Linked DNA regions of Ovis aries. The protein of the gene in region 4 binds, or shares a complex with, the protein of the main gene of each other region. Links are inferred from orthologs where the notes say so. Each region holds a gene or a part of one and is shown on either strand. Other genes may lie near its edges. The genes, in order: PPIL2, PLRG1, DHX16, CRNKL1, BUD13 and CWC27.

What was found.
Region 1: CRNKL1 (region 4) and PPIL2 share a complex: the UniProt entries of both Homo sapiens proteins name them as parts of the minor spliceosome. The link is inferred for Ovis aries from reciprocal best matches to the Homo sapiens genes CRNKL1 and PPIL2.
Region 2: CRNKL1 (region 4) and PLRG1 share a complex: the UniProt entries of both Homo sapiens proteins name them as parts of the minor spliceosome. The link is inferred for Ovis aries from reciprocal best matches to the Homo sapiens genes CRNKL1 and PLRG1.
Region 3: CRNKL1 (region 4) and DHX16 share a complex: the UniProt entries of both Homo sapiens proteins name them as parts of the minor spliceosome. The link is inferred for Ovis aries from reciprocal best matches to the Homo sapiens genes CRNKL1 and DHX16.
Region 5: CRNKL1 (region 4) and BUD13 share a complex: the UniProt entries of both Homo sapiens proteins name them as parts of the minor spliceosome. The link is inferred for Ovis aries from reciprocal best matches to the Homo sapiens genes CRNKL1 and BUD13.
Region 6: CRNKL1 (region 4) and CWC27 share a complex: the UniProt entries of both Homo sapiens proteins name them as parts of the minor spliceosome. The link is inferred for Ovis aries from reciprocal best matches to the Homo sapiens genes CRNKL1 and CWC27.

Annotation. Positions count from the first base shown.
Region 1 is NC_056070.1:72,121,805-72,125,304, reverse strand, and holds part of PPIL2 (RING-type E3 ubiquitin-protein ligase PPIL2), read left to right. Parts: intron 1-521; coding exon 522-597; intron 598-904; coding exon 905-1,011; intron 1,012-1,168; coding exon 1,169-1,258; intron 1,259-1,448; coding exon 1,449-1,482; intron 1,483-1,901; coding exon 1,902-2,019; intron 2,020-3,384; coding exon 3,385-3,441; intron 3,442-3,500. UniProt on the Homo sapiens protein: Has a ubiquitin-protein ligase activity acting as an E3 ubiquitin protein ligase or as an ubiquitin-ubiquitin ligase promoting elongation of ubiquitin chains on substrates.
Region 2 is NC_056070.1:3,080,058-3,083,557, forward strand, and holds part of PLRG1 (pleiotropic regulator 1), read left to right. Parts: intron 1-2,185; coding exon 2,186-2,335; intron 2,336-2,425; coding exon 2,426-2,527; intron 2,528-2,864; coding exon 2,865-2,967; intron 2,968-3,500. UniProt on the Homo sapiens protein: Involved in pre-mRNA splicing as component of the spliceosome. Component of the PRP19-CDC5L complex that forms an integral part of the spliceosome and is required for activating pre-mRNA splicing.
Region 3 is NC_056073.1:27,451,630-27,455,720, forward strand, and holds the start of DHX16 (pre-mRNA-splicing factor ATP-dependent RNA helicase DHX16), read left to right. Parts: upstream 1-1,291; 5' UTR 1,292-1,447; coding exon 1,448-1,654; intron 1,655-2,991; coding exon 2,992-3,242; intron 3,243-3,325; coding exon 3,326-3,488; intron 3,489-3,781; coding exon 3,782-3,838; intron 3,839-4,091. UniProt on the Homo sapiens protein: Required for pre-mRNA splicing as a component of the spliceosome. Contributes to pre-mRNA splicing after spliceosome formation and prior to the first transesterification reaction.
Region 4 is NC_056066.1:39,178,476-39,181,975, reverse strand, and holds part of CRNKL1 (crooked neck-like protein 1), read left to right. Parts: intron 1-1,558; coding exon 1,559-1,711; intron 1,712-2,341; coding exon 2,342-2,433; intron 2,434-3,224; coding exon 3,225-3,383; intron 3,384-3,500. UniProt on the Homo sapiens protein: Involved in pre-mRNA splicing process. As a component of the minor spliceosome, involved in the splicing of U12-type introns in pre-mRNAs.
Region 5 is NC_056068.1:27,154,194-27,157,693, reverse strand, and holds part of BUD13 (BUD13 homolog), read left to right. Parts: intron 1-630; coding exon 631-1,359; intron 1,360-3,000; coding exon 3,001-3,305; intron 3,306-3,500. UniProt on the Homo sapiens protein: Involved in pre-mRNA splicing as component of the activated spliceosome. As a component of the minor spliceosome, involved in the splicing of U12-type introns in pre-mRNAs.
Region 6 is NC_056069.1:14,570,939-14,573,721, reverse strand, and holds part of CWC27 (spliceosome-associated protein CWC27 homolog), read left to right. Parts: intron 1-1,300; coding exon 1,301-1,685; 3' UTR 1,686-2,783. UniProt on the Homo sapiens protein: As part of the spliceosome, plays a role in pre-mRNA splicing. Probable inactive PPIase with no peptidyl-prolyl cis-trans isomerase activity. As a component of the minor spliceosome, involved in the splicing of U12-type introns in pre-mRNAs.

The DNA.
Region 1 (3,500 bases), on a different chromosome or scaffold from region 4:
GCCCCTGCCCCTACCAGGCAGGGCCTGGGGCTGGGAGACCCCCTTTGAACAGTTGTCCAGGAAGGTAGGTGTGCTGAAGACAGGCTGTGGTGTTCACTGCTCTCCCTAACACAGCAGCTCTTAGCATTTTGATGCATTTTCTTCTGATAGGAAGAAATCTCTTTTTTGTGTGTTTAGAAGGAAAAAGACATTTTATCGTGCATGATTTTTTCCTGTAGGACCTTGAAACCTTTAAAAGGGCCCTCAAGTGCCTGGTGCTCTGAACCTCAGAGGTGCCCACACTCTGCCTGGCACGCTTTTCCAGGTTTCACTTAACACGAGGCTTGGCAGCCAGGCTTTTGGTGCGGTTGAAGCCGAGGGTCGCGGCTCTCCCTGGGCCCTGCGGGAGAGGCCAGCGTGGGCTGGGCGTACTGTCTGCCCAGGAGGCCCCCTGGCGGCCAGGGGTGGTGGAGAAAGGCGAAGGGCAGGCCCGGGGCAGAGGGGCGGCCCCCGTGCTGAGCGCTGGTGCGGTTTCCCCGCAGGCCCACTACTCCACCGGGAGGGTCAGCGCCTCCTTCACGTCCACCGCCATGGTTCCCGAGACCACGCACGAAGCAGGTAGTATCTAGCCCCACTCCCTGTCTGCGGTGGCTGAGCACAGGCATCCCCCTGCCCGCCTCGGCTCTGTGGGCTTGCCGGCAGCTCACTAGTGGTCAGGCGGGGACGGGTCCTTTTGAAAGTGGGCTTGTGTCTGGGTGGGGGGCCGCCCCGCCCAGGCCCCAGCGACCTTCTTTGCTGGTCTTCACTGGTCAGGGCCCACCGTCCCCCAGCCCCTTCCTCCTCTCCCCGTGTTGGCCCCTGGTGCCCGCCCTCCCCCTGGGTCCCCAACCCCGGACAGGCAGGCAGCTCAGGCGTCTCCTCGTAGCGGCCATTGACGAGGACGAGCTGCGCTACCAGTTCGTGAAGAAGAAGGGCTACGTTCGGCTGCACACCAACCTGGGCGACCTCAACCTGGAGCTGCACTGCGATCTGGTGCGTGGGTGCCCCCCCCCCCCCACCGGGAGCCCAGTGCCGCCGCAGGTGGCCAGGCTCACCAAGCCCACCGGCTGAGGCCCGGCTGCGGGCCCCGGGAGCCCCTCCCACCGTCGAGGCTGCTGTGTGGCTCACAGGAGCCTTCGGCCTGTTGCAGACCCCGAAAACCTGTGAGAACTTCATCAGGCTCTGCAAGAAGCAGTACTACGACGGCACCGTCTTCCACCGGTCCATCCGCAACTTCGTGGTGAGCGCCGACGCCGGCTGCCCCCCCCCGGGTGTGGAGTCCTCCCCGTGGGGGTGCTGAGCCCCTGGTCTCCAGGGGCCTTGGGCCCCAGCCCAGCTGTCCACATCGAGCTGGTGGGGGAGATCCCATTGTCCCTAGCAGAAGCTGGGGGCTCATGGCGGGGCTCCTCACTGGCGTGCTCTTCCCACAGATCCAGGGAGGCGACCCAACGGGCACTGGCACAGGTGGGTGCTGGCGCTGGGCCCCTGGGGTGCCAGCTGCGCCGCGGGCCCAGAGCCACAGCCTGCGCCTCCAGCCCCGTTTCCTCGCTCCGCCTCTGTGGCGAGGCCTCGGGCCCCCAGGGGCCCCCGTCTGGCCGCCGACTGGGGGCTGCTCCTCCAAAGCTCCCCAGCTTGCCGGCCGCTTGGGACAGACCACCCTCCCTCGTGTGGAGTTTATTCTGAGGGCCTGGGGCTGGGGCTCCCGGGCAGCTGGGGGTGGGGGCCCGTGGGCAGCTGGGGCTGGGTCCCCACGAGCAGCTGGGGGTGGGGCCCCACGGGCAGCTGGGGGTGGGGGCCTGTGGGCAGCTGGGGCTGGGGCCCCATAAGCAGCTGGGGGTGGGGCTCGGGTCGCGGTCATCCTGCTGCTCCGGCCTCTCTTCCAGGCGGGGAGTCGTGCTGGGGGAAGCCCTTCAGAGACGAGTTCCGGCCCAACCTCTCGCACACGGGCCGCGGGGTGCTCAGCATGGCCAACTCCGGGCCCAACACTAACAAGTCTCAATTGTGAGTTGATGGGGGCAGGGGGCGGACTCCGCGGGCTCTCAGCCTTGCCCTCAAGGTCGTGCCCACCTGTGTCTGTCGAGCCAGGAGGCCGTCCCAGCACTTAGGCGTTGCCTGTCTAAGGCCGACATTGTTAGCAGGAGGCAGGGGACGCCCGGGACTGCTGCACCGCAGCCTCGCCGCTGCCTCCCCACGGCAGTCCTCAGGAAGGAGGAGTGTTCAAGACACTGAGCTGTTTAGCTATGTTTCAGATGCTTTCCCAGATGTTACAGTCCATGGGAAGGTGGGGGGTGTGTGCTTTGGCCTGCGCTGGAGTCCGCCTCTTGTGCGGGGTCCCAGCTGTGCCTTCGTGCGTGTCTGGGAGGCCGTGGGGGCACAGGGCGTGTCTCTGAGTGGTCCCGGTGCCTCTGGGAGCTGCCCCTCAATGGGTGGACAGGGCTTTGCTGCTGCCGGATGGTGAGGGTGCCCGTCGGCCTGGCGTGGCTTGTTGGCCCCCGGCTGTCTTAGGCACCAGTGGAGCAGGACGGGCCCCGTCCAGTGGCCTGGGGGACTTGTTCCCAGTGGTTTTCTCTGTACCTGCTTCAGCGGGGCCCCTGGGGAGCGGCCCACAGAAGAGGGACCTCCCGCCAACCACGAGGAGGGGCTTCGGGCTGCCCTCCCGCGCCCGCGCCCCTGAGGGCGGCCCCTGCGCTGTCTCCTGTCTGCTTTGCTAAAGTTGTTTATCCTCCGGCGTGGACATGACTCCATTTGGAGCCGCGTGACGTGTATTTTAGAGGATCAGGCAGCGTGAGAGCCTCCATGTGGGGGTGTGCCTCGGCTTTTCAAGGACGTCTTCTATCTTCTCAATGTGACTTCACGGCTCCTGCTCACGGGTGCCCTGCCTTCCTGCAGGCAGCTGCTCCTGGGGGGCTTTGTGGTTTGTGACAGCTTGAAGCGGCGCTTCTCTTGGCTCGTTCTGGGGGGCGGTCGCTCCGTCCCTGAGGGGCGTGTATTCGGGCCCTCACCCGAGAGCCGAGGCTTTGTGGACGCTTGCGTTCTCAGCTCGAGGGGTGGTGGACTCAGGCCCCTCCAGGCCGGGCTGTGCGGGCCGGTGAGCAGCGCTGTCACCTGGCCCGGCTCGCGAGCCTGCCCCTCCAGGCGAGGTTTTGGGGTTCGTGTGCTCCTGGGGCATCTGCCATGGGTCATGCGTTTTCCTCCCGTAGGCTGTGGGTGCAGCCCCGGGGGCTCAGCCTCCCGGTCGTGTCCGTGTGTCTGTCCTGGCTGAGACTGTTGACAGTGCACCGTCCCGTGTGGGAGCTTGGCCTGGCGGTGCTGAGGCAGGCGGGTAGGGAGGCGTGGGCTCTGCCTGACCACCCCGTCCTTCCCCAGCTTCATCACCTTCCGTTCCTGCGCTTACCTGGACAAGAAGCACACCATCTTCGGGCGGTAAGACGCTGGGCAGGGTCTGTGTTGGGGGTGGGTGGCCGCCTCCCCCAGGCCAGGCC
Region 2 (3,500 bases), on a different chromosome or scaffold from region 4:
CCACAGGACTGGAAAAGGTCAGTTTCCATTCCAGTTCCAAAGAAAGGCAATGCCATAGAATGCTCAAAGTACTGCACAATCGCACTCATCTCATATGCTAGTAAAGTAGTGCTGAAAATTCTCCAAGCCAGGCTTCAGCAGTATGTGATCCGTGAACTTCCAGATGTTCAAGCTGGTTTTAGAAAAGGCAGAGGAACCAGGGATCAAATTGCCAACATCCACCGGATCATGGAAAAAGCAAGAGAGCTCCAGAAAAACATCTATTTCTGCTTTATTGACTATGCCAAAGCCTTTGACTGTGTGGATCACAATAAACTGTGGAAAATTCTGGAAGAGATGGGAATACCAGACCACCTGACCTGCCTGTTGAGAAACCTATATGCAGGTCAGGAAGCAACAGTTAGAACTAGACATGGAACAACAGACTGGCTCCAAATAGGAAAAGGAGTACATCAAGGCTGTATATTGTCACCCTGCTTATTTAACTTATATGCAGAGTACATCATGAGAAACGCTGGGTTGGAAGAAGCACAAGCTGGAATCAAGATTGCCAGGAGAAATATCAGTAACCTCAGATATACAGATGATACCACCCTTATGGCAGAAAGTGAAGAGGAACTAAAGAGCCTCTTGATGACAGTGAAGGAGAAGAGTGAAAAAGTTGGCTTAAAACTCAACATTCAGAAAACGAAGATCATGGCATCTGGTCCCATCACCTCACAGGAAATAGATGGGGAAACAGTGGAAACTGTCAGACTTTATTTTTCTGGGCTCCAAAATCACTGCAGATGGTGACTGCAGCCACGAAATTAAAAGACGCTTACTCCTTGGAAGGAAAGTTATGACCAACCTAGATAGCATATTCAAAAGCAGAGACATTACTTTGCCAACAAAGGTCCATCTAGTCAAGGCTATGGTTTTTCCAGTGGTCATGTATAGATGCTAGAGTTGGATTGTGAAGAAAGCTGAGCACTGAAGAATTGATGCTTTTGAACTGTGGTGTTGGAGAAGACTCTTGAGAGTCCCCTGGACTGCAAGGAGATCCAACCAGTCCATTCTGCAGGAAATCAGCCCTGGGTGTTCTTTGGAAGGAATGATGCTAAAGCTGAAACTCCAGTACTTTGGCCACCTCATTCGAAGAGTTGACTCATTGGAAAAGACTCTGATGCTGGGAGGGATTGGGGGCAGGAGGAGAAGGGGACGACAGAGGATGAGATGGCTGGATGGCATCACTGACTCGATGGATGTGAGTCTGAGTGAACTCCTGGAGTTGGTAATGGACAGGGAGGCCTGGCGTGCTGTGATTCATGGGGTCGCAAAGAGTCGGGCACAACTAGTGACTGAACTGAACTGAAAGCTTTTTCTGTATTTTAAATTTTCTGTATTGTTTTTCTGTATTTTCTGTATTGCTTTGTTCTTGTTTGCCAGAAAAAGTATTAAAAGGTCAGACATTCTTGAAGTTGATATCCAAAAGTTAAATTATTTTCCAAACTGGGTGAATTGATGCTTACAGCATATGAGAGGATCCTTTTCAGGACATTACTTACGTTTCTTCGAAAATACCTACTAATATGATGGGCTCCCCTGGTGGCTCAGCGGTAAGGAATCCGCCTGCAGTGTAGGAGATGTGGGTTTGATCCCAGAGTTGGGAAGATCCCCTGGAGGAGGGCATAGCAACCCAGTCCAGTTTCTCGCCTGGAGAATCCCATGGACAGAGGAGCGTGGCAGGCTACAGACCATAGAGTCGCAAAGAGTTGAACGTGACTGAAGCAACTTAGCACACTAATATAAGTAGAAAGGAATATCTAATCTTTAAAAAGGAAAACTATATATAAAATTTGTAGTGAGGTTGAACTTTTTAATACTTTATTTGCTACTTTGCAGGATTTTTTTTTTAAGTTGATGCCATCCTTGACTAATTTAATACCTCAGTATTCATTCTTTGGCTCAATACCCTTTATATATTAAGGACTTTTTGTCATCTATGCAAATACCTTCCCAGTTTGAGCATGCCTTTTAATTCTCTTTCTCCTGTTTTTATTTTTGGTGATAGAGTTATTTTGCAAACTTTGATATTTTTATATGTTTTTGTCTTTCACTTTTGAAGACAATTTTCACATTAAGATTCTAAACATTTGCTTTGAAATAATCAGCAAGAATAAAATTAAGCATTTTTTGATTGCAGATCTGGGACTTGGCTAGTGGCAAGTTGAAACTCTCGTTAACTGGGCACATAAGCACAGTACGTGGTGTGATAGTGAGCACGAGGAGCCCGTACCTGTTCTCCTGTGGAGAAGACAAGCAAGTCAAATGCTGGGATCTCGAGTATAATAAGGTATGTGTGGAGTTGAGGACAGAAATCATCATGAGCCCCTGTTTATCTTCCCAGTTACAGATATGTTAACTCTCCTCCCTTCTTTTTTAGGTTATAAGGCACTATCATGGACATCTGAGTGCCGTGTACGGCTTGGATTTGCACCCGACCATCGATGTGCTGGTGACCTGTAGCCGAGACTCAACCGCACGGGTGAGTGCACTGGAGCCCGTCTGTGCATACACGGCCTCCTGCAGGGTGCTGGCTCGATCCTGAGGTCTGTGTTTCTGGATAGAGAATTTCAAGATCCTTACTTTGACCCGTCAGTATCCCTCCTAGTCTTCATCCCCAGCTCTGTGGCCTCGCCATGTCCACTGTTGGGCGCCTGCCCCCGAAATGTGACAGGTTATTTCATTTACACACTTTCTTCATTCTATTCAGACAGGTCCACACAGTTTTCTAGTCAATTCCCATGCTTGAATTGATCTTGTTACTTGCCTGAAGATAGGAATACCTGTTTTCATTGAGGTATTGTGTGCTGTTTTTATAGATTTGGGATGTGAGAACTAAAGCCAGTGTACACACATTATCTGGACATACTAATGCGGTGGCTACAGTGAGGTGTCAGGCTGCGGAACCACAAATTATCACTGGTATGATCCATACTTCTCAAGTTTACGGTATATTCATATCAGGATGCATTATGGTTATATACTTCTTATGTTTACTCTGATTCTTGCTTTGTGTTGTATATTTAGTGTTTCTGTGTGCACTTGAAATTTATTGTGGTAACATTTAATTCTGTTTTTATATCATAAGTTTTATATATCATAGAATCTTTGTATCATGTAATGTCTGACTAGAAAGTAGTGCTGTTAGATACAACTAAGTGCTGTTTTATACTTTCAAAATTAGCAGTCTAAGAAATTAATGTTAGAAGACGCACTACCCCTGACTTTTAGGACTGATCTGAGTCTTGCTTTGCTTAAAATATGGTTAATAGCAATGAATCTTCAAGACTAGAAAATAATTCCTTCCCTTGTTTTGTTCAAATAATCATGAGAGTCTTTGCCTTCCTCTCCACTAGGAATGACGTTATGCATTTGTCTTCACAGTTGTTCTGGCTCTTCAGATTAAGCGTTGATTACATTTAATAATTAAAATCAACCAGGTATTTTGAAAGAAT
Region 3 (4,091 bases), on a different chromosome or scaffold from region 4:
AAATGTTTAGTTTCCCAACACAGTGTCAGATAAATCCAATTAATTGTACAAGTATGAAGCAGAACCAGAGGCCAGACAGCAGTCAAGCAACAAGTTCTGCTTATTTAAAATTAAGCAGACACCAGTGACTTTCTCAAGCTGTTAGCAAAAGAAAAAAAAAGCAGAATACAATTTGCATATTTCTTAGTTTGCAGATCTTTTAAAATAACATTATGAGATAGCACCAAGAAAAGAGGGTACCTTTGCTTGTTCTCCACATCTTGAGTTTTCATCTGCCTGGAGTCCTTGATAAGCCTAACCTGTATTCATGTCTTGCAGAAGGTCCTAGCAAAGGTCACTCCTAATTAGTTGATCTGTAACAAGCATGGACCTGATCTTCTAATTTGAATGCCCCACCCCACAAGCGCCCACACACACCTTGCATTATTTTTGGCTCCATATAACTTAGTATTTTATATTTTTATCTTGTCTCTGTCAGGCTGGTCCCCACCCCCAACCCTCTGCCACTGTAAATTCAGTAAGCGATTTGTTTCTGATTTGTTCCTTGCTATATCCCTGGGTACTAAAACTGTGCCTGGCCCACACTGAAAGTGTTGGTCGCTCAGTTATGTCCGACTCTTTGTGACCCCATGGACTGTAGTAGGCCAGGTTCCTCTGCCCATAGAATTCGCCAGGCAAGAACACTGGAGTGAGCTACCATTTACTCCTCCAAGAGGGTCTTCCCCACCCAGGGATAGAACCTAGGTCTCCTGCATTGTAGGCAGATTCTTTCCTACCTGAGCCACCGGGCATTTTGCTGCTGCTGCTGCTAAGTCGCTTCAGTCGTGTCTGACTGTGTGACCCCATAGAGGGCAGCCCACCAGGCTCCCCCATCCCTGGGATTCTCCAGGCAAGAACACTGGAGTGGGTTGCCATTTCCTTCTCCAATGCATGAAAGCGAAAAGTGAAAGTGAAGTCGCTCAGTCGTGTCCGACTCTTCGCGACCCCATGGACTGCAGCCTACCAGGCTCCTCCATCCATGGGATTTCCCAGGCAAGAGTACTGGAGTGGGGTGCCATTACCCACCTGAGCCACCAGGCACTTTAGGTTCTTAATATAGTTGAATGAAATGAATGGGTGTAATACTCACGAATGATCAACAGAGGGCAACAGAAATTCAGTAGGGGAAGAAATGAAAATGTTTTATTCCGAGCTTCGCGTACAATTACGCGAGATTTGAACTCGCTCGGCCACCGTAGTGCATAGGCCGGAAAAGAGCAGCCACTTCCGGCCTCAGCGGTCCAGGAAGATTGTTTTGGACTATCGGAAACCGAACCCCTCGGTTCTCAGGCAGCTCCATTCCGGAGCAGAGGCTCCATCCTGGAGCTCTAGGCCCCCGACCCGCCCGGCCGCCGACGTGGCAGCTGGAGACACTTTCAGGGCCGGGAATAGGGAGCGTGTTGTCGCCATGGCGACACCGGCGGGGCTGGAGCGCTGGGTGCAAGACGAGCTGCACTCGGTGCTGGGACTGAGCGAGCGGCACGTGGCCCAGTTCTTGATCGGTACCGCGCAGCGCTGTGCCTCGGCAGAGGAGTTCGTGCAGCGCTTGCGAGACACCGATACCCTGGACCTCAGTGGGCCGGCCCGGGACTTCGCCCTGAGACTCTGGAACAAGGTGCTGGGAGAGGCGGGACCGGGCGTGGGAGCGGCGGGAAAGTGGGTGGAGCAGGGGAGGGGCCCCCAGGTTACTTGTCCAACGGAGTTTGGGCTCACTTGGGCTAACTGTCCAACGGAGAATTAAGCTCAGTTTGCAAGCAGTTATCACTTTCGGGCTGGACGACCACTTCCGTGGAGAAGGTTGAGGAGGGCTTAAGGGTTGACTCATTGGAAAAGACTGATGCTGGGAGGGTTTGGGTGGGGGCAGGAGAAGAAGGGGACGACAGAGGATGAGATGGCTGGATGGCATCACGGACTCAATGGACGTGAGTCTGAGTGAACTCCGGGAGTTGGTGATGGACAGGGAGGCCTGGCGTGCTGCGATTCATGGGGTCGCAAAGAGACGGACACGACTGAGCGACTGAACTGAACTGAACTGAACTAAGGGTCTACAGAGCAGTGTTTCTCAAACAGGTTTAGGATTCATCCACGGCTTTTGTTAAAATGAGGATTCCGATTCGGTAGGTCTGGGATGGTTTCTTCATTTCTTCATTTCTAACAAATCTTGTAAGTTTTCGGGTGATGCTGGGTGTTGCCCACCCTTCGAAGAGTGAGTCTATAGAAGAGATGTGTGGGCAGTGTTGTGGGAGGGTAGAAGTGGTGTGGCTGTGATCGAGAAAAGCAGGCCCAAAGATTATCTGGAGTTTGTTGGGTAAAGAAAGGGGAAGAGTAAAGGTGTAATGGTGAGCTCCTGGAAGGCAAGACTGTGATTTTTGTCTTTGTATTCATACCATCTAATTGTAACCTGCAGAACAAGAGCTCAGAAATTATACAGTAAGACTAAAAGTGTTGAACTTGTTCATGGCAGATAACTTGGTGTGGCTGTCCCATTTGCACTTGGTGAAAGATGAGAACGTACTTGATGTGAGGGTAGGAGCTCTGTGTTAATCCGTTCACCAGGGTATCTCTGGAGGCCACTACAGTGCTGGCCCGTGACAGGGCTCTGCAAAACAATCTGGACAATCCTTGTCCAGTCCTTGGGTAGGAATGACTTAGTCATCGGGAAGAACAGAGGCTGAGCAGTTGAGAATTGAGTGTGAGAATGTAAAGTCCATGAGGGCAGAAAGTTTTATCTCTTTACCCCTATATCTCTAGTACCTAGCAGGGGGTGCATGGGATAGGCTTAGGAACTGAGAGACCCCATTCGGGCTGATGGACATGGTGTGAAGCCTTGGGGAAGAGACAGAATGACAGCTGGTTTAAGATCAGTTACTCCTTAAATTAGGAACTGGGCAGAGTAGGTGGGCAGAGATCAGGAGTTGCTTACATCCCCTTGACTTCTCTCTCTCCCGACAGGTCCCACGGAAGGCAGTGGTGGAAAAGCCAGCTCGGGCAGCCGAGCGAGAGGCCCGAGCCCTGCTGGAAAAGAACCGCTCTTATATGTTGTTGGAGGACAGTGAGGAGAGCAGCGAGGAGACTGTGGGCAGGGCTGGGAGCAGTGTCCAGAAGAAGCGGAAAAAACGGAAACACCTCAGGAAGAAACGTGAGGAGGAAGAGGAAGACGAGGAGGAGGAACAAGTTTCTGAGAAAGGAAAGAGGAAGACAGGGTAAGTCAGAAGTAGGGGGCGAGAGGGTGATGGAACAGGAAGCCTCTGAGTGCCCTCAGTTAATCCTCCGGGGTGGGCTGCAGGGAGAAGAAAGAGCAGACGGAAAAGCCGGAGTCGGAGGATGAGTGGGAGCGGACAGAGCGAGAGCGCCTTCAGGACCTGGAGGAACGCGATGCATTCGCTGAGCGGGTTCGGCAGCGGGACAAGGATCGGACTCGCAACGTCCTGGAGCGGTCAGACAAGAAGGTGCATTGGAGCAGCACTTCCCATCAGTCCCCAGGCAGACCCCTGGATCCGATCTGAGGTTGGGTGTGACCGCAGATAGTGATCTCTGGGAAGACAAGGAGCCGCCTCCAGTAGTCTGGTCATCTCTTTGGGTCTTTGGGCTAAGGTGGCTCTCTGCTGAACCTGTAACCACAGAGATTCCTCAGTGAAGGGGGTACATTTCTTTGTGCTAGGGAACATCTGAGTGATCCTTGTGATTCTAGACAGGAATGGCTGTGGGCACGGGGACTTTGACCACTCTTGCCTTCTCCTAGGCTTACGAAGAGGCTCAGAAGCGCCTCAAGATGGCTGAGGAAGACCGGAAAGCCATGGTGAGTCCGTGTGCCCAGGAAGACAAAGGGAAAGGCTTCCTGATGGAGTGGTTAGGGTAGGGAGGAAAGATGCAGAGGAGGTGTGGTGGGGCTGTTGGGTCTCTGGTTGAGGCGCCAGCTAAGGATAGACTTAAACTGTAGTGGGAAGGAAGTGGCCCAGAAACCCTCTGACTCCTTAGGATCAGATCAGACTGTATGTTAGTGAGGGAAGTATTTCCCTGTTCCTGGGACTTAAAGAGGTGTACTCAAAAGG
Region 4 (3,500 bases):
CTTTGCCCTGCTTCATTCCACATTCCAAGGCCAAATTTGCCTGTTACTCCAGGTGTTTCTTGACTTCCTACTTTTGCATTCCAGTTCCCTATAATGAAAAGGACATCTTTTTTGGGTGTTAGTTCTAAAAGGTCTTGTAGGTCTTCATAGAACCGTTCAACTTCAGCTTCTTCAGCATTACTGGTTGGGCATAGACTTGGATTACCAAGATGTTGAATGGTTTGCCTTGGAAACGAACAGAGACCATTAAAAATACTGCATGTCGGACTCTTTTGTTGACCATGATTGCTACTCCATTACTTCTGAGGGATTCCTGCCTGCAGTAGTAGATATAATGGTCATCTGAGTTAAATTCACCCATTCCAGTCCATTTTAGTTCGCTGATTCCTAGAATGTCGACGTTCACTCTTGCCATCTCTTGTTTGACCACTTCCAATTTGCCTTGATTCATGGACCTGACATTCCAGGTTTCTATGCAATATTGCTCTTTACAGCATCGGACCTTGCTTCTATCACCAGTCACATCCACAGCTGGATATTGTTTTTGCTCTGGCTTCATCCCTTCATTCTTTCTGGAGTTATTTCTCCACTGATCTCCAGTAGCATATTGGGCACTGACTGACCTGGGGAGTTCCTCGTTCAGTATCCTATCATTTTGCCTTTTCATACTGTTCATGGGGTTCTCAAGGCAAGAATACTGAAGTGGTTTGCCATTGCCTTCTCCAGTGGGTTAATACTTAGCGAATGCTTAATATGTGACAGCATTTGTCCTAAACGTTTGCACATACTCTTCCCTCACGTCTTTCTCCATCTCAGATGACTCTCTAGAGCCTGTCCTTTAGGTCCCGTTTGGATGATTCCGGGAGAGAGTGCATAGAAAGCACTCAGCACAGTTTCTGGCACTTAATGTTCATTAGATAGGCGCCCTCAGCATCGTCATTGCACACATGGCATTAAATACTTAGTATTTCTTATAGTTCAGTTCCATAAACTTCTGTTGGGCTCCACAGTTCCCATAAAAATTTAATGTAATTTTAAGTTTTGTCATAGCTACAGTAAAAAAAAAAAAAAGGTCAAAACAGGTGACATGAATTTTAATTATATGATAGGAACTTACTGAATACGTCTTTGACTTGAAATGCCATGAAAAATCAAAGACGGTTATCCACCTGGGGCCAAGGCAGAAATTGAAGGATTCTGCAAATAGAGGTTGAAATGCCAGTTAAGGCATGGTGCACATCTTGATAAGACGTCCGGTTAGAGTTTTACCTAGGCATCCTCAAAATTTATTATACTATTCTAAAAGAGAAATGTTGTTTTTGCGACCTTTCCTCTTGAGACTTTTATCTATGGCTTTGTGATAAATACCTTGCATGAAATTTAAAAGTTTGTGGTTTTGTTTTTTTTTTAGTTTCATAGAGAAATGGGAGCATGTCATGCAAAGGGGGCATCTTGTAATAGCGTTCATAAAGTTCACATTCTAAAAAAAGTTCATTTGTTTCTTACACGTTGTGTGAAAAGCATCTGCTAAAAATGGAAATGTCTCCTGTGTTAAAAGGTGAAAAACAAAGCCCCAGCTGAAGTACAGATCACTGCGGAGCAACTGCTAAGAGAAGCTAAGGAGAGAGAACTTGAGCTTCTTCCACCTCCCCCTCAACAGAAGATCACAGATGAAGAGGAGTTAAACGATTACAAACTACGGAAGAGGAAGGTTGGTCTGTTTCAGTCTGTCAATATCATTAAGAATTTATAGACCAGAGTTTGAAAAGTTCCTCACTGATAAGAGACTATAAACTAAGAAGAATTTAGTGTTTCTGGCCACCTGCGTAATGTGACTTCTGCTCACCAAGTGGTTCCATTATCGCTAAACTTCATAAAATAACCACGAGTTGTCTGTCTTACATTAAATCCACCACGGACAGAATTTTTAGTGCTGAATCAAAGACGGGTGGGAGTTTGCCAGGCAGAACAACTGACAGCTGAGGAGGGGCAGAAGCAGTGAGGTTGCGCCATGTTCTTCTGTCTGTAGCGGCCTTCTGTGCTGAGAGGTAACACCTGGGCTAGAGCCAAGAGGACCTGGGGATCTGATCCAACCTCCCCCACCCCAGGATGTGGGATTATTTTTTTTTAAATCCTCTTTGTTTGCCTATAAGATTTTAAAGAAACACTTGTGACTTTAACCTTCTTCAGTGGGTTTCTTATCTCTCAAGGATCCCAGGATGTAATTTCTCTTAAATAAGAGCAAAATGAATAAATTTCTTAGTACAAGGGTTAATAGACAAAAGACAATGTCATCTTTAGTTGTTTTCCGTTTAATTTGACCCTTTTTGCCTTTTGCCAGACTTTCGAAGATAACATAAGAAAAAACAGGACTGTGATTAGTAACTGGATAAAATATGCACAATGGGAAGAGAGTCTAAAGGAGATTCAGAGGTAAAGTCACTGAGCATGTAACTCTGTAAATAGAAATCCTTAAGTTACCAGATACAAAAACACAGAAGTTAAAGCAAGTGTAAAACCGTGTGCCTCTGATAATAATAAAATAAAAATTTATAGAGTTTGTTCCTTGGGACCCTAGGGTTCCTTTGAGGGGCCTCAGGAGCGCTATGGTGGGCTGGTCCTGCGCGGGGAACAGTGAAGCAGGCTCTCCAGGTGGGTCTCATCACCAGCACACACTCTGCAGCCAGAGAAGTGCAGTTCCATCCATTTTCTCCATATTAGGAAATTCGTTTTTGTTTTTTTTTTTTTTTTTAAGAGTTAATGTTCCACTCAAAACCAGTGGCCAACAAAATGAAATCATGACCTGACCCTTCCTGTTGTCCCACCTTCCTGTGTTCTCCCTACTGGCCAGGCCCAGAACTCACCGCGTCTCCTCACCCTGATGCCAGCAGGGACCCCCCCCCTCCCCACTTATCTTGGTACTGGGGACTTTGCCCAAGTTCTCACCTACTGCTTAACTAACTTTTCCACTTGACATTTTTCTTTCTTTCCGCTCTGCTTCCTTGTGCAGACCTTCACTGTAACATCACATTGCATTGCAGTTACATGTATGTCAGCCTTTCTCTAAAACTTACAAGGTTCCTGAGAACATAATATCTTTTCACCTTTTTATGCCCAGAACGTCACTCACAGTAAACACCTGAAAAAATAGCCGAGCCTTGGAGGGGGTTGCCAGGTGTGTGGCGTGTGCTGTAACTGATATCCTCCAAATCTGGCTTCTCAAGGGCTCGATCCATATATGAACGCGCCTTGGATGTGGACTACCGAAATATTACACTATGGCTGAAATATGCCGAAATGGAAATGAAGAATCGCCAGGTCAACCACGCCCGGAATATCTGGGACCGAGCCATAACAACTCTGCCTCGAGTCAACCAGTTCTGGTAAGTTCCTGATCTAATGAAATGGCTTTTTGTAGACTGTATTTGCACATTTTTGTGTGTACATGTGTTTACATTTATTTATTTATTTGGCTGCATCGACTCTTAGTTGCGGTATGT
Region 5 (3,500 bases), on a different chromosome or scaffold from region 4:
ATAGACATGGGCATGCAGCAGGTGATCAGTAAAGTGCTGATCCTTCTTTCTTTCTGGTGCTCTTGCTGCTTTTGATAAGGAGCACAATGGCATGGATTAAATAGCTCACAGGATTTCATTTTGATGTGGCATGGAATTATTCAGTTTGCCTTTTGAGAGAAGAGTGGGTGCAAACTGAATTGCCTAAGTTAGATATCAGTGGGAGCTTCTCATGGAGAATTCCATACAAGTAAGGTTTGGGGAAGAGCACTGGATTGGGATTAGAAGTTCAGGGTTCTAGCCTGTCTCTTCGTTTTAGTAGCAGTGACCCCTAGGTAGGAGACCACTCAGCTTCTTAGGGTCTCTGTTTTCATGTCTGTAAAACAAGGGTACCTGCCCTGCTTGCCTAACAAGATACAACATGAAAAATACATTTAAAGTGCCTTGCAGATTATGACCTGTTAGGCAAACGTGAGTGGTTTTTCTTAGGATATTCATGAGTGCTACTTTATTGCCCTGAAGTAGCTGTGCGTATCTTTTGGGCTTTCTTAGTAGTTTTGAGATGTATCCTGCTGGGGTGTTTTTTGAAACTTTGGTTGTAGGGGTGGCAGAGCATTTGTGGGAATCTGATTCTTTGCTATTTGTGTTTAGGCCAGAGTGAAGATATACCCTCACACAGACAGTTCTGTCATGACATCCCGGACTCATCTCCTCCTAGGAAGGTTCGTCATGACACCCCAGATCCATCTCCTCCTAGAAGAGTTCGTCATGACACCCCAGATCCATCTCCTCCTAGAAGAGTTCGTCATGACACCCCGGATCCATCTCCTCCTAGGAAGGTTCGTCATGACACCCCGGATCCATCTCCTCCTAGGAAGGCCCGTCATGACACCCCGGATTCATCTCCTCCTAGGAAGGTTCGTCATGACACTCCGGATTCTTCCCCTCCTAGGAAGGTTCGTCATGATACCCCAGATCCATCTCCTCCTAGAAGGACCCGTCATGACATCCCAGATTCATCTTCTCCTAGGAGGACCTACCACAGTTTCTCAGATCTCTCTCCTGCCAGAAGGGCCCGTAATTGCTCCCCTGACACAGCTCAACCTAGAAGGACTCTTGACTCTGTGGATAGATCACAGCTCAGGAGGGCCCATCATAATTCCACTGACTTGGCTGCTAATGTTCCTCACTCACTGCTCAGAACCAAAAGCAGTGAAGCCCCAGAAAGCTCTAGCAAAACTTCTCCACATTGGAAGGGGCCAGGACCTTCTCATCCATCACTCCCAAAGAATAGCAAATATGAGTATGACTCAGACCTCTCTCCTTCACGAAAAAAGCAGGCAACATCCCATGTTGGAAGTAAGCAACATGATTCTAAAGGTGAGCATTTGTCCATGAGAGGGACTTGTTCCTAGAGTGCTTTCTTTTGGAACTTTTAGTTGCTTTACTAGGTATTTGTGGTCTTTAGAAATGAGAATGGAGCTTTGGAGTTTTAAAAACTGGAGGGAAATAGTGAGAGATTGGGCTGAAGAGAGTTAAAAATTAATAGTAGTAGGGTAGAAGTTTATATATATATTTTTTTGTTCATTTTCCCCACCCCATGAAAATACTACATGTTTGTTGCAGAAACTTTGGAATGTATAGAAATGTAGAAAAGGATCACACACAATTCTGTCCAGTCAGAGGCAGTCTCTCTCTTGTAGCCAGTGTTCTTTTAGTCTTCTTTTCTAATCATTTTTGATGTAGTTTGGACGTGTCTAGGCAGTAAGTAAATATTGCATGTGTAATCTTGCTTGCTTTTTTCACTTAGCATTATCTTTCCTGAGTCATAAAATATCTCTTTGTTAATATAGTTTTTGTTGGTGTTCCAGTAACCATTCCCCTAATATTGCATATTTTAGGTTATTTCTAAACCTTTTCCTCTGTAATTCTGTAATGAACATCCTTATACACAAACTGTTGCTCTGTTCTGGATTTCCGTATCTATTTCTAGATAGACTTTCTGGGAATTGAAGTGCTGCTAGATACGTTTCCTAGGGTACAAAGTAGAAATTGATTTGCTGGCTCAGCCGGGTTCTTTGCTTATAGGACTGTTGATAGGTATTGCAGATTGCCTTTGGAGGAGGTGATTTGTGATGCCTATGTCTACAGCTCACCTGTGTGATGAAACTTGTTTGCTCCATCGTTTGTCCCTAGGTACTGCTTTAGTTTTTAATTCAAATACATTGTTATGTTTTAGTCAGAAGACCTCAGAATATATTCTGTGTGTGTGTGTTAGTCACTCACTTGTGTTTGACTCTTTCTGACCGTAGCCCACCAGGCTCTTCTGTCCATGAATTCTCCAGTAGAATACTGGAGTGAGTTGTCACTTCCTCCTCCAGGGGATCTTCGTGACCCAGGGATCAAAGCTGGGTCTCCTGCATTCGGGCAGATTCTTTACCATCTGCGCCACCAGGGAAACCCAGAATATATTCTAATATATTCTAGGTCATCTTAACTTGCTAGGGCTTCCTGGGTGGCTCAGATAGTAAAAGAATCTGCCTGCAATGTGGAATACTTGGGTTCAATCCCTGGATCAGGACGATCCCTTGGAAAAGGGAATGGCAACCCACTCCAGTATTCTTGCCTGGAAGATTCCATGGAAGAGGAGCCTGGAGGACCACAGTCCATGGGGTTTCAAAGAGTCGGATACGACTGAGCGACTAACAACGCCACTGAGCCCTGAGTTCAGTTTGTTTTGGCCACTCTATGTGTGGGTAAATAGGGCACAGATGAGGATGTTGAGATGTCTTGTGCTAGTCACAGTAACTAGTGCTAGTAACTAGTAACTTGGGAATAGAACCCCACCCATTGGTTTTAAAAGTTATCTCTGACTTTGCTCTTCCCCCTTGTCATTTATACTTACGTTTAGGTTAGTGATAGTTCCTCACAAGAGGACTAAATGAATGTTGAACATTAGCCTGGTACATTATTTTTTAGATTCTGCCAAGGGGATTAAAATCTTTACTCTTCAATTTCTAGGCTCTTCCCCCACCCATAAGAAACATCATACAAGCTCTCCACCCAGGAAACATCAGAGTCACACATTGGACTCTTCTTCCTACCCAGGGGACAGTAGGAAAACCTCTGATTCAGATCTTTCTCCTCCACGGCACAAACAGAGTTCAGGGCCCCAGGATTCCGATTCCGATCTGTCACCTCCGCGGAATAGACCTAGGCATCGGAGCTCTGATTCTGACCTCTCTCCACCAAGGAGAAGGCAGAGGGCCAAATCTTCTGATTCTGATCTGTCTCCACCTCGAAGGAGCCAGCCTCTGGGAAAGAAGGTAAGAACTTTCAGGAGCCATGTCTTGGTTTAGAGGAACTCATCTCCTAGCTCTGTACAGGTCTCAGAGATCCAGGCCAGAGAAATCTAGCTCACAGGACCTCTAGAGCGCTTTTCTTCTCTCTGAAGGCAAGACTGTCTGACTCAGTCCAGGGGAACTTGCAAGGAGCAGATTTCCTAAATAGCATCTGCCTTT
Region 6 (2,783 bases), on a different chromosome or scaffold from region 4:
CTACAGGATGCCAAAACATCTGGCCAATTCAGTTTAAAAAAAAACAACAACCCTATCAGCATAGATTTCTTCAGTCAATCCAGATGTTTGGCGTCCTGTAGACAAAACATCCAGATGATTAACTGAAGATTTGACAGAGTTGACTGAATTAACCAGATGTTGCAGCATTGTAGAGACATCGTGTCAGGACATTTGTTTGGCTGGAGTGGGGTCCAGCTGTCAAGGAGATAATGGTCTGGGCAGTGAGGGAGGACTGGAGCTTGCATTTGATGCAACTGGGAGCTGCTGGAAGAGGCGTGTGATGGAAAGGATGCTTAAGGAAGAGGATGCTAACAACCATGTGAAGGAAAAAATATGGTGAGAGGAAAAGTTGTAGACAGGAAAGAGGATGTGTGAGTAGAGTGCAGGTGTGTGTGAGGTAATTAGAGCCTGGACCAGAATCAGGCGGGGGAAAGAAACAGGAAGGAGCGGATCTGAAAAACATTACAGAGAAAGAACAGGAAGTCATGATGGGCTAGACAAGGGGGTGAAACTGCACATCACCCCAAGGGTGGAAGCCTCCAGGCCTGGGAAAGCAGCTGCCGTCAGCCTCGCCACAGTAGTAAACCAAGCCGGGATCCCCAAGAGACCTCCCCCACGCACCTCCATCCAGAGGCCAGAGCCAGGCCTGCAGGCGGAGGGAACCTGGTTGGAGACCACAAACACAACTCTTATGCCAGGTTCCCTGTTCCTTTTAGAGCCACCTAAATGATTTCCCTTCAAATCCAATTTCATGCAAGGATTGAGAATGCTAGATTAAGACCATTAGGTAGACACAACTTCAGCCAAAAAAGACAATATTTTGATGTAATTTGCCTTTATACTGTATATCATGTAAACTAAGATCTATAGAGGTATGACTAAATTAGATGAGATTAAGAGAAATTATAAATATAGTACCTATATTACCTAGTTAAGCATTATAAAAGCCTGTTAACAGGCACAACTAATGGCTGAATTCAAGAATTTATATATCTTTTAAAGTCCTAAATTTATGAAACCTTGGAACATTGACTCTTGGTTTGGATATTCTGCAGATTTTATCTCGATAAAGAGTCACATACTCTAAATTACTAGGATCCAAACTATGGTAACTATGGTAGTGTGCTCCTATTTATTTTTAAAAATTCCAAATATTCATGGTTTTGAAAATTTGCAGTTTCAAATGTTTTCAGCCCCAGGTTTATCAGCCCACACAACCAGTGCGTGCCCTTTACAAAAACACCCAGGATTTCTTCAACTGTTTCCTTGTTCATTTCAGGAGGCAAGAAACCATCAACAGAGGCTTGTTGCTGTTGTTCAGTCGTTCAGTTGTGTCCGACTCTTGCAGCCCCATGGACTGCAGCACGCCAGGCCGGCCAGTCCCTCACCATCTGCCGGAGCTTGCTCAAACCCATGTCCATTGGATCAGTGATGCCATCCAACCATCTCATCCTCTGCCTGTCAACAGAGGTTACTCTCTCTTTGTTCATGGTTTAGAGCAAAACCGAGAATTTCTCTCTTTCTCTTTCCCTCTCTCTCCCCTCCCATCTCTCTCTCCTTCCTCCTCCCCCCACCAGAGAAACAACACAGAATGTGAGACCATAAATATATTGCTGTGCTCCAAATCACCATGGGGGAGGTGGAAGGGTCAGGAAACTTGTTAAAATCAATTTCCCAGGCCTCAGAAATGACAAGTCTGTTGATCTGGGGTGGGAGCCCAAGCATCTGTTGCTTTTTCTGTTAGATTTTTAACAAACTTCCCCAACAATTCTGATGCCTGTTTCCTGAAAATCAGACTTAGATGCTGCCCTAAAGCAGAAAGCTAGAGAATGAAATACATCTATTGGAAATGCAATTTTAAAATGGTAAAACGTGGATTAAATTTTTTATTACACATCTCTTAGTCCTTCCTTAATGTAATAGTGCCTAAGTAAATTCACTGTGTTCTGTGATATGCAGAATGTTTCACAGAAACTGCATAAAGTCAAGCACACCTATGCAATCAAGCTAGAAGTGCGGAAGACAAATAGGACAGCTCGTCTGTTCTCAATTCACAGCAGTGGCTATGGCAGCCCTTCCCGAGCACAGTGTGTACATGATGGGAAATATAATTAATGATCTTGGTAAGTATTTCTAGTGCTCCAAGGCTGAGTAACTTATCAGATAGAAAAAACAGTTGAGTTCACCGAAACAATGGGTGATTTATCCAGGTGTGTTTGAATATAACCTTCCCACAGCCATCTTTTTGTAAGAAATACTTCAAAGTTAGTAGATAGCAAACTATTCAAAAAGTTAATCAGTGAAATGTCCCCCATCATAACATCAAGATTACAGTGTTTGTTCTCTACATATAATACCTTAGGTATCCTTTTCTGGCAGTACTAAATCTGCTACAAGAAATATTAGTGAATTTTTTTTCCTGGTACTAAGGCTTCATTTGCCTTAAGCTCAACTCACTCTCAGAAGTCTTTTCCCCAAAGGATATAGGAATGAGAATAAATTGAGAGAACCTTATTAGGGGCCCTTCATTACCTAAGGTGTAACAATTAAAAGTCAGATTTACTTTTATTGTGCTTTGAATGATGCTTTGGAAACAATCAAGGGTCTCATATGTAACTCAAGCAGTTTTGACTTGAGTAGTAATTCTTTCCCACTTCGCATTCTCCTGCCACTTTGAAATCTCATCTGCAACCATGGGGAATGGGAGAAAATTAGGACAAGCTAGGATTACAAAAGAAAACCCTTAGGAACTTTTAGAATAT